Lytechinus pictus: one gene and its partner. Each later gene encodes a partner of the first gene's protein in a complex. Links are inferred from orthologs where the notes say so. Each region holds a gene or a part of one and is shown on either strand. Other genes may lie near its edges.

Region 1 (8,196 bases):
GAATAAATAATTTGGCATCAAAATTTTGAAAGTCACGATAACGAATCATTTTATGTTTTATTTTCTTTTCATTGCGTACACCAATGCATGTATAAATTAGATAGTGATCACTTAATGCGATTTGAGCAACGTCACTGATTAAATGCTTACCAGGCATTGAACTGAGAATGTGATCTGAACATTTCGATGAGGTACTGGTAACTCTTGTTGGTTTTAAAATCATTTGTCTTAAAGAAAAAAGGTTTTCTGGCAGATTAACTGGGTTGTCACACAAATTTTCATCAGCTTTCAGCTTTGAAGAAGATGCTATACAGTATTTCCTTGAAAATATACATAAAAGGAAATTGTTTAGGATACCTAAAATGCGAGCGAGTGTAGCTAGCGCTTAAAGCCTTTCACTTTTATCTACTTTTAAGCATAGGCGGCGGAAGCGGGGGGGGGGGGGGGGGGACGGGGACGTGTCCCCCTAAAATTTGTTGTTGCCGCCAATGCTTTTAGGGATGGCTAGTTTGCAATTTACTTGTCTTTACTATTTTGAAAATTATCGGCGCCGATAAAGTCCCAGGCTGTCAGGCAGCGCCGAATTTTCTTGACCAGTGCCGACTTAGACTTAGGTGGCGCTGATTTTTTTTAAATTAGTATTAACCAGCGAATGTTTAGTACCCGAAAAGAGAGAGAGTAATGGACAATGAGAATAGATAAAGAAGATTCGCTTCTCCTTTTTAAATTTTGTTTTAGCGGCGCCAAGGCGGAGTGGAAAAAAAGAGTAATTGGGCGCGCTTTATTCCTCGCCACTGATATATTTGAATGGCATATTATAAAAATTTTCAATTTGTCAAAATTATTGGGAGCGAATCGATATGTTTGCCTCCCCATATTATAGTTTGGGCGGTTGCCTCTGCCCACCCTCCCCCCTTCGGCCTTTAGCGACGCTCATGAAGTAGTCCGAAATAGGGGTTCCCATACACCATCATGATATATATTTTTTAACCAACCTTTTTATATTGCCTGAAGTGTCGAGTTAATGAATCTTGGTGACTCCAGTAGGGTTCGCTGTGCCAGCACTTCTTTATAATTATGTAGCTGATAAAAAAAACTGTTGAAAAAACCTACTCTTTCGCCTTTAAGTGGTTTTAAAGGACGAGTCCATCCCCAACATCATGTAAAATTGAATAAAAAGAGAAAAATCAAACAAGCGTTACACAAACAATTTCATCGAAATCGGATCTAAAATAAGGAAGTTATGACATTTGAAAGTTTTGCTTAATTTCACAAAACAGTTTAATGCACATCTTGGTCGGTATGCAAATGAGGGGACTGATGACATCACTCACTATTTCTTGTATTTCACTTCATGGACATGATGGAATATGGAATATTTGAAATTTGTCCTCATTGTCATGTGAAACAAAGTTTTATTCTTTCCCGAACATGTGGATCTACCATTGTTTCACCATTTTGTGGTTCAGTCAAGTTGGTCTTTGTTGTCAAATCTGTGAAAATTGAAATATTGTATAATTCAACCTCTAAAAAAAATAGTGAGTGAGGGACATCATCGACTCTCTCATTTGCATACCACTGATTTGTGCATATAACTGTTGGTGAAAAATAAGCGAAACTTTAAAATGCTGTCACTTTCTTATTTTACATCCGATTTTTGATAGAGAAAATTCTACTTTTTCGTTTCCAAGTGGTTACAAAACAACGAAAGTGGCTTTACTGCTCCAAAATGGCGAATTTCCAAGAAATGGGCAAAATACGATAAAGGGATGGGGTAACTTCGGCAGCTCCCTGAGGGAGTATAGGCTTTGCTGTGTCAGCTAGTCTGAAGCTGATAGAAAAAGCCTACTTTCCCGTCTCCAAGTGATTTCAAGAAAGTAAAAGAGGTTTTTTACATAGCCGAAATATTTATTTATTTATTTATTTAAATATATTTAACCAGGGTAGCCCACTCAGCAATAAACTGGTCTTCCGTAAGGCCCTGGAATGCATGATAAAAGCAAGTATAAAACATTTAAATACATATGAAGTATACACAAAAATATTCTAAATAACTTAACTCATATCATAACAGAAAACAGAGTAGCAAACATACGACATCGTTAAAAACATGATACTAATTTAAAAAAATTACACACAAAGCAGTACATATAAATAAACTAAAGTAGATAGACATAAAAAGTTGATTTCAAATTTAAAAGGCAATAATAAAACTTGAATTTAAAAAGATGCACTTTAAGTTTCTGTTTAAAGATTGATAGAGATTTTGACTGTTTTAAATTAAATGGCAAGATGTTACAAAAAGTAAAATCGCTGAGTAAGATAAAAAGTGTTAAAACATTTCGGTATGAGTTTTTTGCGTGATCAAAATTATCTTTAGCTGAATATTTAGTGTTAAATCAATGAGAGTCACTTGCAAAAGTAAACACATTATACAATAGAATTTCGATGACAGACCATTGATACATACATAAAAAATGCACTTAAAATAGGTAACGCGATCGTTGAAGGGGAGCCATTTGAGTTCATGAAACCTTTATTTTGAGGGGGTATAAAAAATTACATTTTTTGATTATACGATCTGTGTGCATATTGAAACGCAACCCCCAGATTTCACAGCAATAATCAAGGTGGGATTGACTAAACATAGGTATAGAGTCCTCAGGGTATTTTGGTCAACATAAGGGCTAACCCTTTTTAGCATACCTAGGCTGGCATACACCTTTTTACATACATTATCAACTTGGTATGACCAAGATAGGTGTTGATCAATTATGACTCCAAGACATTTTATCGTTGTACATCGTTCTATAACATCTTTTAAACACATGAAGCACTTTTTGTAGTCATTATAATCATGATTAACATACGCATCTCGCTAATCAAATATTGCGAGCGCGAAGCGCAAGCTGAAAAATTAGGAAATTCAGATCTGAAGAGGGGCATCTTAAGGCTTGTTTGTAGGAATTTACGAAGATCATACGTATTTAACTATCCAAATGATGCAAGCACGAAGCGCGAGCTGAAATTTTTGTATATATAGACCCCAGGCCGAACTGGGACATTTAAGGACTATTTTTTAGGAATCCATTAAGAGTATACATATCTCTCCATAGTCATCTAATGCGAGTGCCAATGCCATTATATATCTCCTTAAACAGAGAATGCGAGCACCAAGAACGATGAACACATAGGCCCTGATAAAATTATGTTTCATAAAGTTATGAAAAAAAGATTTCTTATGTAATATAACATAATATACATAATGTGATATTATATATAATATAATAGTATAATATAATATAACATAACATAGCACAATACGATATGATATAACAAATATAATATAATATGATATAATATAATATAATATAATATAATATAATATAATATAATATAATATAATATAATATAATATAATATAATATAATATAATATAATATAATATAATATAATATAATATAATATAATATAATATAAGATAAGATAAGATGATATGATATGATATGATATGATATGATATAATATAATATAATATAATATAATATAATATAATATAATATAATATAATATATTATAATATAATATAATATAATATAATATAATATAATATAATATTATATAATATAATATAATATAATATAATATAATATAATATAATATAATATAATATAATATAATATAATATAATATAATATGACATATTATAATATACAATAATTTATTCTTTCCCCACTATGTTTCTCTTCCTTTCTCCGTCTTTTTCTCCTTTTCCGCCGTTTTTTTGCCAGCCAGTGGGGGGGGGGGGGCGTGCCCCCCGTGCCCCCCTCGTTGTTACGCCACAGATTAGTGTGACTAAGGGGGTGTTGCAAGAAAATATTTGCAATTAATTGCAAATATTCTGTTGCAATTTTACAATTGATAGATCAAGTTTACCTGCAGAAAATCAGATTACACTCCTTGTCTCAAGGAGCAGATTAACGATCAATCATGAATTTACATTCAATTGCAAGACTTATGAATCATTTAGCGACTGAAAATAGACTTGCAGTTGATCGCAAGATTCTTGCAATGCCCCATAAGACACAGAGGTTGCTTTTTGGTGTCATTTTATCGCAATATCGAGTAATACATTTGGAAGTATCTGCCCTTTATCTAAGCAAATTAAGACATTAATACTGCCATGAAGCATATCATTATTCTCGTTAACATATCCTCTTTCGTGTCGAATGCTGATATTTTGTATAAATTGTTGATCTTTAAGATAAAAACACTTTTATTAATGCACACATTTTTACCGAAGCATGAAAATTTGGGCCTAAATTCTCATTTTTTTCAAATATTATTAATGGACTATCCAGAAAAAGATTGCAATCGATTTCTACTTTCTAAACCATAATTAAAAGCGTATTTTCCTATTATCTGTGCAATACTAGATGAAAATTAATGATTTTCCGGTGATTTTCATGAAAAAAAATGCGAGATGGCCGCCAAAATTGCCAATTTTGAACCCCCTGGAACACGATTTGGCAAAGGGAACATCAAAATTCATTAACTGGACATTTCAGGCAATACCAAAAGGATGGTTAGAGAAATATATCAAGATGGGGATGGGACCCGCTATTTCCGATTCAACTAAAGGCACGGCAATTTGCAGCAAAGTCTATGCCAACTAATTGTATTAATTTTCTGTGGTCTATGCCACCGAATTCTATAAACTGTCTCCTAGGTTCAGTCTTGTGAACAGGTGACAGTGTCACATGATCATAACTTTTCTTTCATTCATTTTTGTCATTGTTTTTTAGAAGAATTATCTTGTCTTAATCATCAATTTTTTATCTAAAACAAAAATAATTAAACTTTATTTTAATTACTATATATAAATTTGCCTATAAAATGGAACAAAATTTTATTTTGACTGTCTTATAAGTGAATAAGTTTGAGAATTAAGATTGCCAATTTGAAGATGACGATAATCGTACTGATTTCTGAGCATGCGCAAACGAAAATCCCTTGACCTTAGATAGCTAGCGATCGGAGCTGTATTGTGGTCTTGAACGACGAATGAAATTGAGATGAGAATGGGATCAATTTTCTGTAGTTTTCGTCTTCTTTATTGTGCTATTACCAATTGATAAGACATGTTCAGTAAAAAATCACACGGAGACTTTAAGAAATCTGGTCAGAAGGTGCTGGATTTAAAGAAAGATGTGCTCTCTCGGCTCAGACACCTGCGAGTCGTGATTGGTAGGCGAATCGGTTCAGCTCATTTTCCTATTTCCTAACGTTAGAAATACCGGGGTAGAATGCTATGCAGCTATGGCTACTATAACTATACTAGCTATGTTCTGTATGTTGTTTGTGAACTTGTTTTTAGTTATCAATGTCGGTGATTAATGTTTTAATGTTTCTTCATAGAAGAGTTAGACTTCGACTTTTTCCTAATAAAATGCTAAGCCGGCTAAGGATCGATGATGTTATTGTTGTTAATTGCCATAACTTGCCATAAATTAATCGGCATAAATAAGTTCATAAGTCATAACAACATTGTTAATGTTATGGCAATTTCCCCCAAGTCTGCGCAGTCCCCCTTGTCTGCGACTGCGCACACGCGTATCTGCGCGATTCTAAGAATCTAACGTTAGTTTTCTACTTTTAATCTAAGTTCTAGTATAAGAAGATATGCAACAAACACAAACTTTACACACGCAATACATGAACAGATATTCATTAAAAAATCTGACTCAATGGTGGAAATTTTTTTTGGGGGGGCATTCCATGTGACGGCCTCAAAATGCAGCCTTTCTCATCAAAATCCCTGAATCGTGTGCAAAGTAAATGGGTGTGCAGACATGGGGTACCATTTTTTTTCAATCTGAAAATGAGTGCCCAAGGTTTTTTTTCCAAGAAAATCCTATATTTCTTTCAAATCTTTATGAGATATTTTGTACACTTATAATGATATAAGGAACATTATTGTCTGAAAGATTTTGTGAAATGAAGAGAAATTCATGTTAAATCTTTACTTGAATTGTTAGTGCGCAGACTTGGGGACCACCATCATATATGAATGGGCCTTTAGCTTTTTTGCCTTGCATGGAGTTGGCACAGTCTGACATAGACCAAAAGCTTCGGTCTCTGTTATGTTGGTTGTTCAGCTGAACTCCGTTGGCTTCACTCACCAAATACAGAGACCGAAGTTCTAGCGCGATCTGTACAGGGGACTCAATGGCCATATGTTTATGTACTTAAGATCGGATAAAACGGGGAAGTGAATTTGCGCGACAGCCGAGGTAAGTCACTGTTTTTGTTCCTTTTAACTTGATTTTTCTCCGTTTTTTGGCAATTGATGCCAAGAGGGAATATTAATTTGCATTTTGGTCGCGTGACTTTTCAAAATTTTTACTCATTAAAGACAAAAATTGAAGAGCCCCGACGGGGGGATTTTGCATTGCAAGTCCCCTAATGGTGGCTGCACGCTAGCGAGCCGTCTGTGTATGAGGAGAAATTTAAAAAAAAATAAAATGTTAAAAAACTCCTCGAAACAGACGGCTGCCAGCTGTCTAAGTCTGACACAGACAGCTGGCAGCCGTCTGTTTCAAGGAGTTTTTTAACATTTTTTTTAATTTTTAATTTCTCCTCGTACACAGACAGCTCGCTATCGTGCAGCCACCATTAGAGCGTTAACAATGCAAAATCCCCCCGACAGGGCTCATTGATTTTTGTCTTTATTTCATAAAAATCTTTTAAAAAAATTGTACCAAAATAAAGATTATTCCGTTTTGGCCTATCCTGGGGAAAGATTTTTAAATAAATAAATGAATAAAAATTCTTCCTAAAATATCTTAAACAATGATATTTGCAGATGACAAGGTATACATTTGAAATAAAATAGTATGAAAGATAAGCCTGTGTCAAATTGATTTTAAAATCGGCGTTTGATCAATGTCATCGAGTGCCGGTGCAGATTTTGCAAAATTGGTGCAAATATAAAAAATAAAAAAATGACTGTGTGAACTCTACTACCTTTCCATTTGGTACACACATAACTCGTATTACATAAACTTTTCTTACAATCGCTATATCAGCATAGAATACCAATTCAAGTGACCATCCAGAGAAAATTACTTACAATGTTTATTCCCATTAACTCATTTTGGATCCAACTACATCTCAGACAAGGTTAATGCTCTCCGCTAGTATAGCACTTGTTGGCCGGCAAGCATACTTGTCGTTTCTGGAGAGTGAGTGTACAGGGCTGCGTACGGGGCTGTGTAGTATGTGAGAGTTGACTGAGAATCGTATTGACTCTTCGTGATTCATGTCTTTCATTTCAAACGTACCGTATATGTTGTCATAGATCTATAAATATCATTATTTTAGATATTTTAGGAAGAATTCTGCATTGGTCCGTTTTTTTGTGATCATGGAAATTACAAACAAACTTTGCTCTGTCACCTGCTTGTGCAGCGCTTACCCCACTCAGCGCATATCGTTGCAGTGCATGTATCGACGGAGCAAAAAATTGACTTGATTTTCCCGCCTTCAAAACTTGATGCCTCAATGTTCAATCGAATTAAAGCTGTCGAACTCTGGTTTGCAAAATAATCAATGTGACTCAGGCTTATATTTAAAAGACATGAATCACACAGTGTTGATCCGAATGGTTTTTGGTCAACTCAGTCACAGACACACAAACGGTACAGTGCCTCGTACCCTCGCTCTCCTTAAACGACTGCATGCTTTCTGGCCAACAAGTGCTATACTAGCAGAGAGCACATAACTTGCCGGAGATGAAGTTTGATCCAAAATCAGCTCTTAATTGATGGGAATAAGTATCATACGTTATTATACCCTCGCCAAACAAAGTTTAAAGGGGTACATGTAGGAATCAGTGTATGGTCAGGCGGTCCGTTGCAAATATTGCGCATCGAAATACTTCCTCAGTTTTTAACCAATTCTCATGAAACTTGTCACACATACATGTATTGGTGTTGGGGTAAAGATGTGCAAGACATATTTTTCGTATGTGTCGGAATTATGTTGCCATGGTAACGGGATGTTATGGCAAAAATAAGGTAAAAATCTTATAGTTCAAACTACTTTGAAACTACTACGTTGAAAATTGGATGGAAATCTTGCAGTTTGAATTACTTCCTCAATTAACAATAATATTAATATAGGTATATTTACCCA
Region 2 (7,244 bases), about 17 Mb from region 1:
CCGACAAAAGTTCTTTAGTACTCCGAGACAGATCCGTGATTGCAGCAACCATCGAATCCATCTTGGAGGCCCACATTGCATTCTGAGCCTCCAGAGCACTGATTCTAGCCTCAAGGCTAGAATTTCCTTTGGTGGCAGCTTCCGGAGGAGACGACTCTTGTACCCTGAGGTCATTCTTATCTTCTCCTACAGAGAGCTGCCTTACTTCGTTTCTCAGCCTAGGGCCATGCTTCTGCATGGTCTTCTGGGTAAACTGAAACCATTTGTACTTGGTCATGGCTTCATCTAATGTCCCAGGCCGAGAAGTCAGGACATGATGCCCTGCATCTTTGTCTTGGGCACCTTGGCAGAACCTTGCCACTACAAGTTCTTGGACGAACTTGTCAGGTAGGCCTACGAAGGCCTGACCTGCAAGGGTCATAAGCCTATCTGCCCACTTGATGATGTCTTCATCCGAGCGTTGAAAAGCCGATTGAAATTGCATCCGAGTAACTTCCGGCTCCTCCTGGAGAGCGAACCGCTTCTCCAACTTGGTAACCAAGTCAGAGAAGGCGATATTTGGATTGCTCTCCTGGATGAGGGCCATGAACTTACTGGCTTCGGCCTCCAACGCCAGACACAGCTGATATTTCTTGTCTGCATCAGACATGCCATGTCTTTCGGTGTAAAGTTGGAACTTCGAATAGAAGGCCGCCCAACTTCCTTTGCCGTCGAACGAAATGGTCTTCGGCAAAGAGGTTGGTCTAGAAGGGGGCCTTCTGTCGTCATACTCTGGTACCACAGGTCTTGAGGCCGAAGAAAGTCTGGTGACGCGGGGCGGCTGATTTCTTGTTGGCAGCCCCAAGTATCCAGGACTTACTGATGGCCTTGTGGTATTTCTATGTTCACTGTATACTGGGCCTCCATGTCCATCTCCTTGAGGTCCAGCGCCTTGATACACAGGGTTGCTACCCCCATATTGCAAGTCACATGGTCCTTGGGGAGAGGTTTGCGGGGCCACAGTGTTAGGATAGTGTGGCGGATATCTGCCTCCAGCCCATGGTGGGCAATACCCACCGTAGGCGGCAGCAGGGTTGCAGTATGGAGGAGCTGGCTGTCCAGTTCCTCCGAATGGCATCATCTGCATCATCCTAAACATCACGCCATACATTTCCTCGTACTGTGCTTGTGTAAAGTGTGGAACGGCCTGTGGATAGCTATGTGGAGGTGTCTGGGTTGTTTGATTGAACATTGCTGGTCGGCCACCCTGAGTACCGGGAGCCTGACCATGCAAATCTACTTGGGCATGAGGACCAAATTGGAACTGGGGTCCTGGTGGGGTAGCTACCTGGGCACGAGGACCACATTGGAACTGGGGTCCTGGTGGGGTAACTTGGTGGGGACCCTGTGGTGGGAACAGGCCATCGTTCCATCCTAAAAATCCAAATTGGTTAGCCCAGAGGGACTTAGCCCTATCTTCTGGAGAGGCCGAAGGCTGCTGAGTACAAGCGCCACCTGGCCTCCCCCCTGTGAAAAATAAGGGGGCCTCCCCGTCCTGTGTCTGAGAAGACTGGCCTACAGCACCCCGAGTGCTATGTGCACGGGTGTGCTGTGGCCAAGCCTCAAACGCCTGGCTCACGGGGGGCTCCTTTGATGGTATCAGTGGAACGCTCGTAGAAGGCTCGTCTACTTCGGAGCGCACTTCTCTGCGGTCCACATTATGAGCCGTTGTTGTTGGCTCATAGTCAAAGGCGTAAACTAATAGTTCCGCCTTCGGTATGTGAGGTATTGACAAGAATGTATCCGGAGTAATGTCGGCCGCCTCCCTCGCGTGTAGAATGCGGTTGGCGGTGGCCATACCCACTCCGGGCAGACTCATCAATTCCTCAGACGAACAAAAGTTGATTTTGATTCTTGGTATGTTGCTCGCCATCTTGATGTAGAAATTAATCAGTAACAAAAATTAAATTCCAAAATTGAACTGTAATCAACCAAAAATTATCCTGCAGACTACTTTGTCTTGCGGATAAAATCAAAATAAATCTGGGACAAAATTAACTTTTTGAAAAAAAAAATGAAAGAGAATTAACAGAACTAACCTCACAATATCCTGAGGATGTTATTAAATTAAAATCCAGAGGCTACCTTTGCCTAAAAATAAAATTCCTGTATGATTTAATTCTTAGGAAAGAAAAGAAAAAATGCAAACAATCGAACGCTCACTTGTTCAAATTCAAAGAAAGATATGAAAAATATATAGAAATAATTTCAAATAAATAAATTCTTATTATTTATTTATTTTTTTTCTGTTTTTTGAACAAAAGTTAATATTTACAAGTACAATTTATCTAAATATATACAAAATTTATTTAATTATACAATTTATAATTAATTGATTGAATATGAATTTAATACAAATGTCAGCAGCACAGCTCACAGCATTCACTCAACGGCAGCAGCAGCAACAAAATATATTATACAACAGCAGCAGCAACAATTCAATTACACAACGGCAGCAGCAATAAACAACAAAATATTCAATACAGCAGCAGCAGCAACAATACAACAGCACAGCAACAGCAGCAAAATATTCAATACAGCAGCAGCAGCAACAACAAAATAATTAATACAAGACTGAATTTCCTTATCTCCTGAGACGCGTGACCAAAAATAATAAATTCCTAACAATTAACAGCAGCAGCAGCAAATTTCTGGTGTTTTCTCCAAAAAACACCCAGAAATATAATTACAAAAAAATACTAACAACAGCAGCAGCAGCGCGGCGGTCAAAGGAGAAAAGCAAATTCAGGCTTGTAATAAAATAATCAACTCACAACATCAATAATATTCAGCAATACATTCACACCACATACGGTAAACACAGTCAAACGCAATCAAAATTTCATCAAAGTCAATCACACTCGGTGGCCACAAAAATATATCCTAACGAGGGAACAGCTAAATATATGGTCAACAAAATGAGTGGATATTTACCCTAAATAGTACAACGTATAATGTTTTGTCCAAAAAAATCCGATTAGCTCCTGTCGAGCTAGCCGCTGAATTCCTTCAAGGCCAGCACGGCAGTGCCGATCGGTAAAAAAATAGAGTATATTTACGGAACTAAAAATCAAACTTTTTCCACCAAAAAATGAAATCTCAAACTAAAATAATATGTTACTTTTTGTTTTATTTAATATTATGGACAAAACAGAGTCAAACAGCTCAAATTAATAAAAAGCCTAAAATTTTCAAGATGGCGGCGGCTTTTTTATATTCGGCCACGGCCAACGCAGATTCTGCAACGGCGTTGGCTGTGGCGAAGTAAAGAAAATGTTTTGCCGAAAATAAAATAAAAATCGCTTTAATCCTCGTCGCCAGTAAAGCGGGGGGCCGATAACATAAATAATAATACACTCGCTATACACATATAAACTTCACACCGGGAGAAAGCCTTACCTTATTCTTGTTATGCACAGCTCTCAGGACGTCTGTACCTCTCGGGGGTTGAGTATGGAGTGATGTGGTTGAGTGGCGTGTGTAGAATACCGGTATGTGTGTGTTGTAAAGCTGAATGCGGGTCTTGTGTTACGGTTCGTCCCGCCGGTGGGTCATGTGATGTTGTGTGCTTAATTACTACTAATCCCCTAACACCATACCCCTATAGTATTGGAGAGAGTCTCCCATATTGGCCGTGCGCCTCTACTCACTACTGACGAACATCGCCCGAGCCCGAGGTATACTACTATACCTTTCTTCCCTTTTGATACTCCTTTCGCTTTTTCTTTTTCTCCTTTTTTTTCTTTTTGGGAGCGTTTTGGGGGGCGACCGCCCCCCCCCCCCCCCCCCCCCGCTACGCGCCTGCTTGAGGAAGTTGAGGTACCGGTACTTGAGACGAGCCTGAGCTGAGCCCCAGCTCACCTCCGCGAGCAGCGCGCCGCCGCCGAATTAGGCCTAGTCGGCGACGGAGTTACCCAACACAAACATGCAGGACATGGGACTACGGAAATCAAAAAGTCGACAGGTCAGCAGTATACTTACGTCCTTTCTGCGCTTTCCCCTTTCTTCACCTATCATTCTCTTTTCCTCCTCCGACATCTCTGGGATAAACATCAATGTCCTGAGCATGAAAAATACCGCAACGCATAAAGTAAGAGTAAGAACGCATCTTTTCGCCCGGAACCTCATTTTTTCCTGGCTCTTCTCTCAATTTTTCTTTTCGATTGATCTCAAATCGCTAGCGCCGCAGAGGGCGTGAATTGTGAAATGCAAAACAACACCGAGTGAACCAAAACAAGGACTAAAGAATGACAGTTTTGAAAAAGTTTATTATGGTATTGTGTGAAATACTTTGATTTATTCACATTTCTAGCTTCTTGAGTCTGTATTTAATAACATTAGAAGATGTATTCTGGATGGGCTTCTTTGCAAGAGGCGATCGAAACGGACCAAAGCAATCACAGTGTTCTCCATACGTTTCCTGAAACTGTGGGGAGAGATGTGGCCGTGTCGGTGGTGAAGCAGTTGGCCGCAAGTACGGCGTCGCTGGCAGCTCTCCAGCAGAGAGGGGATGGGTCTGCTGCATGTAATCCACTTGAATCAGAGAAACAAGTAGAGTGGACAATGGAGGTAATTATAGGCATGATAGGAAAGCTGGCACTGTTAACCCTTTGTACGCTATATCTTCGTTTAACAATTAAAAAGTGATCTAATTTTAATTTTAATTAGGGCCTAGATCTAGTTTTTTATCTCCAAAATGGTCATTCATCAATCATTAATCATGATTCATGTCATTCATGACAGAATTGCAGATAAAAAAAGCTGCCATCAATGACATTGACAATAGAATACAGTGTGTCAATAAATGATAATGATAGTGATACAAGACATTTATACTAAGGCCTAGTGGACTTGATATGGGTGTTTCTAAATCTAAGCATGATGTATTCTGCTTAATACAAGTTACACATTGGGACAAAATGAAATTGGTGTTTAAAATTAAAGGATCTGGATGTATACAATGCAGGGCCCTCCTTCGAGTCCTTGGCATAAACGCATCGGGTGAGATCTATTCTAGATCTATAAAACAACAGTCAAAGACAAAGCTGATGTATGCCTAAAGGCTTTAATTGACCAACACGCTTGATAATTGTTTTGATCAGTTCAACACCTGTTTTCATTCAATTTCAATATCCTTGTTGGAACAGACATATTTTTTCTGAATTCTGTACTTTTGCAATAGTAGTGTAAGAGAGAAATAATGAGCAAAATTGAGATGATTTCCATGGCAATAAAACTGCAAATGATTAGAATATCATGGCGATAATCATAATTGACATACTATGGGTGGTGCATTATGATTAAAAAATCACATTTGATTCATACTTTTTATTTTACCAGGTGATTTGCTATGGGCTGAGCCTCCCCTTGAACGAACATGAAGCAATTCGAGATTGTGTGAGTGTATACTGTGAATGGCTAAAAGCATTGACCATACCCCAGCCCAGCTTACCCACACCACTGAGCAAAGATCCAAATCCATACATTCAGAGGATCTTTCAGCATCTTGTCAACCTATTCAAACCTAGAAAACAAGGTAAAGTACCAAGAATATTTGGTGTTTTCAAGTTCACTGTTAGTTCTGGTATTGATGTTAAGGTCTATTTGTTTGCCTTTCATAGCTCCAAAACCTGATCAGAGAATAAAAATGGTCAAAATCACATTATTGATAACTCAACACCAAGTGAGGCATATTCGAAGATCAGTCTTATTTTTAGGTTTGTGCTTTGATCATATAAAGAGTAGCCCATCACCAACACCAAAAGCTCAACACTGAACTTGAAATCTCCCATTGTAATTATCTCCCAATACCCAATCTACACTTGTTTGATAATACTATTCATAAGGTGAATTGATGAATAACTGGAACATATGCTTGAGAGCTAAACCCATCTGCATCTGTGGAAATAAGGTGTTTATTAACCAAATTCTTGTTATAAACAATAATTTCAATGAAAATTTTATCACATTTCACAATCTTATTCAGAGTTATCAAAATAGAGGCTGTGGAGCATTTACTTATATCTGTATGTTTCCTCTTCAAATATATGTCCACATCACCTTTGTTTCTTAAGGTCTGTCTCATTGTTTGGTGCAAGCATTGCGGGTGAGTTGCGGGCAATCACCCGCAACGCTTGCACGGAACAATGAGACAAAGTTTTGAGCATGTTCAAAACTTTTCTGCATGCAAATCAGACATGCTTCCACTTGTGCAGGCAACTGCTTGTGAGATATGTGCGAGTGTCACATGGGAACAATTAAATAAAAACAATATTCACATCAGCCATGCCTTTAAATCAGATTCTTTATTTCCAAAGCATACTATGCTATATCTCTCTCCAAATAACAATTTTCTTCAAACAATTTCTACGCTGCACAACCGTAACTGCCACTAAGGCTAACAAGCACAAAACAGATCCTTCACTGACCTGATCGTGATCTTTCTAAACCTCTTAATCCAATACCAACTCATTTATTTGATATCTAATAACCATCTAACATCGGTATTCAATTCCACTATTAATTACATTCTATTCTGAACCATTTCTGATAATCAAAGGAAAATATGCGCATATAATAATTGTTCAAAGGATCCATTCACGCTCACTGTCTCAATTTCATACTTCACCACTTTGTTCCGTCTTTGACGAAAAGGTCATACTCCGGAGAATCAAACAATCTAACGACAAAGTCCTTCTATCGCCAACCTCGCTAAACAGTACTCCATGCTTCTCCGCCATGTACGTTGAAGTTTAGGATTGGATGGGGATGCATCACGCCCCAGACTACGTGCCATCTAAAATTAAACAACGGCCAGAAAAACACTCTACTATATGGTTCAGGTTCTATGAATAGTTATTCATAATTAAAGCATTAAAGCATCTTACTAAATAATTAATAAATAATTCAGCATCTATGACATCCTTCCATACTCGATTCAAGGTCCAGCGACTCCCTATGAATATACAATCTCTTGAAATGCTGATATAAATGAGTTTTCTAAAAGTTCAATAAGGATAAAGTTCAAACAATCCTATTAGGGGCTTACTCAAATTACTTTATGAATAGGTCAGAAAGAATCATCCATTTACTCTAATAAAATATCCTTTATCATAAATCAGTATTGTTTCTTTCACATACTTTATGATTTGTTACTTTCAAAACATACAAAAGCTCTAAAGTCAACTCACCAGTGGTGCTGAATT

What was found.
Region 2: ral GTPase-activating protein subunit alpha-1-like (region 1) and ral GTPase-activating protein subunit beta-like share a complex: the UniProt entries of both Homo sapiens proteins name them as parts of the heterodimeric RalGAP1 complex. The link is inferred for Lytechinus pictus from reciprocal best matches to the Homo sapiens genes RALGAPA1 and RALGAPB.

What each region holds. Positions count from the first base shown.
Region 1 is NC_087251.1:21,744,314-21,752,509, reverse strand, and holds the start of ral GTPase-activating protein subunit alpha-1-like, read left to right. Parts: upstream 1-4,992; 5' UTR 4,993-5,141; coding exon 5,142-5,247; intron 5,248-8,196. UniProt on the Homo sapiens protein: Catalytic subunit of the heterodimeric RalGAP1 complex which acts as a GTPase activator for the Ras-like small GTPases RALA and RALB.
Region 2 is NC_087251.1:38,741,953-38,749,196, reverse strand, and holds the start of ral GTPase-activating protein subunit beta-like, read left to right. Parts: upstream 1-4,226; 5' UTR 4,227-4,383; coding exon 4,384-4,608; intron 4,609-5,379; coding exon 5,380-5,575; intron 5,576-7,244. UniProt on the Homo sapiens protein: Non-catalytic subunit of the heterodimeric RalGAP1 and RalGAP2 complexes which act as GTPase activators for the Ras-like small GTPases RALA and RALB.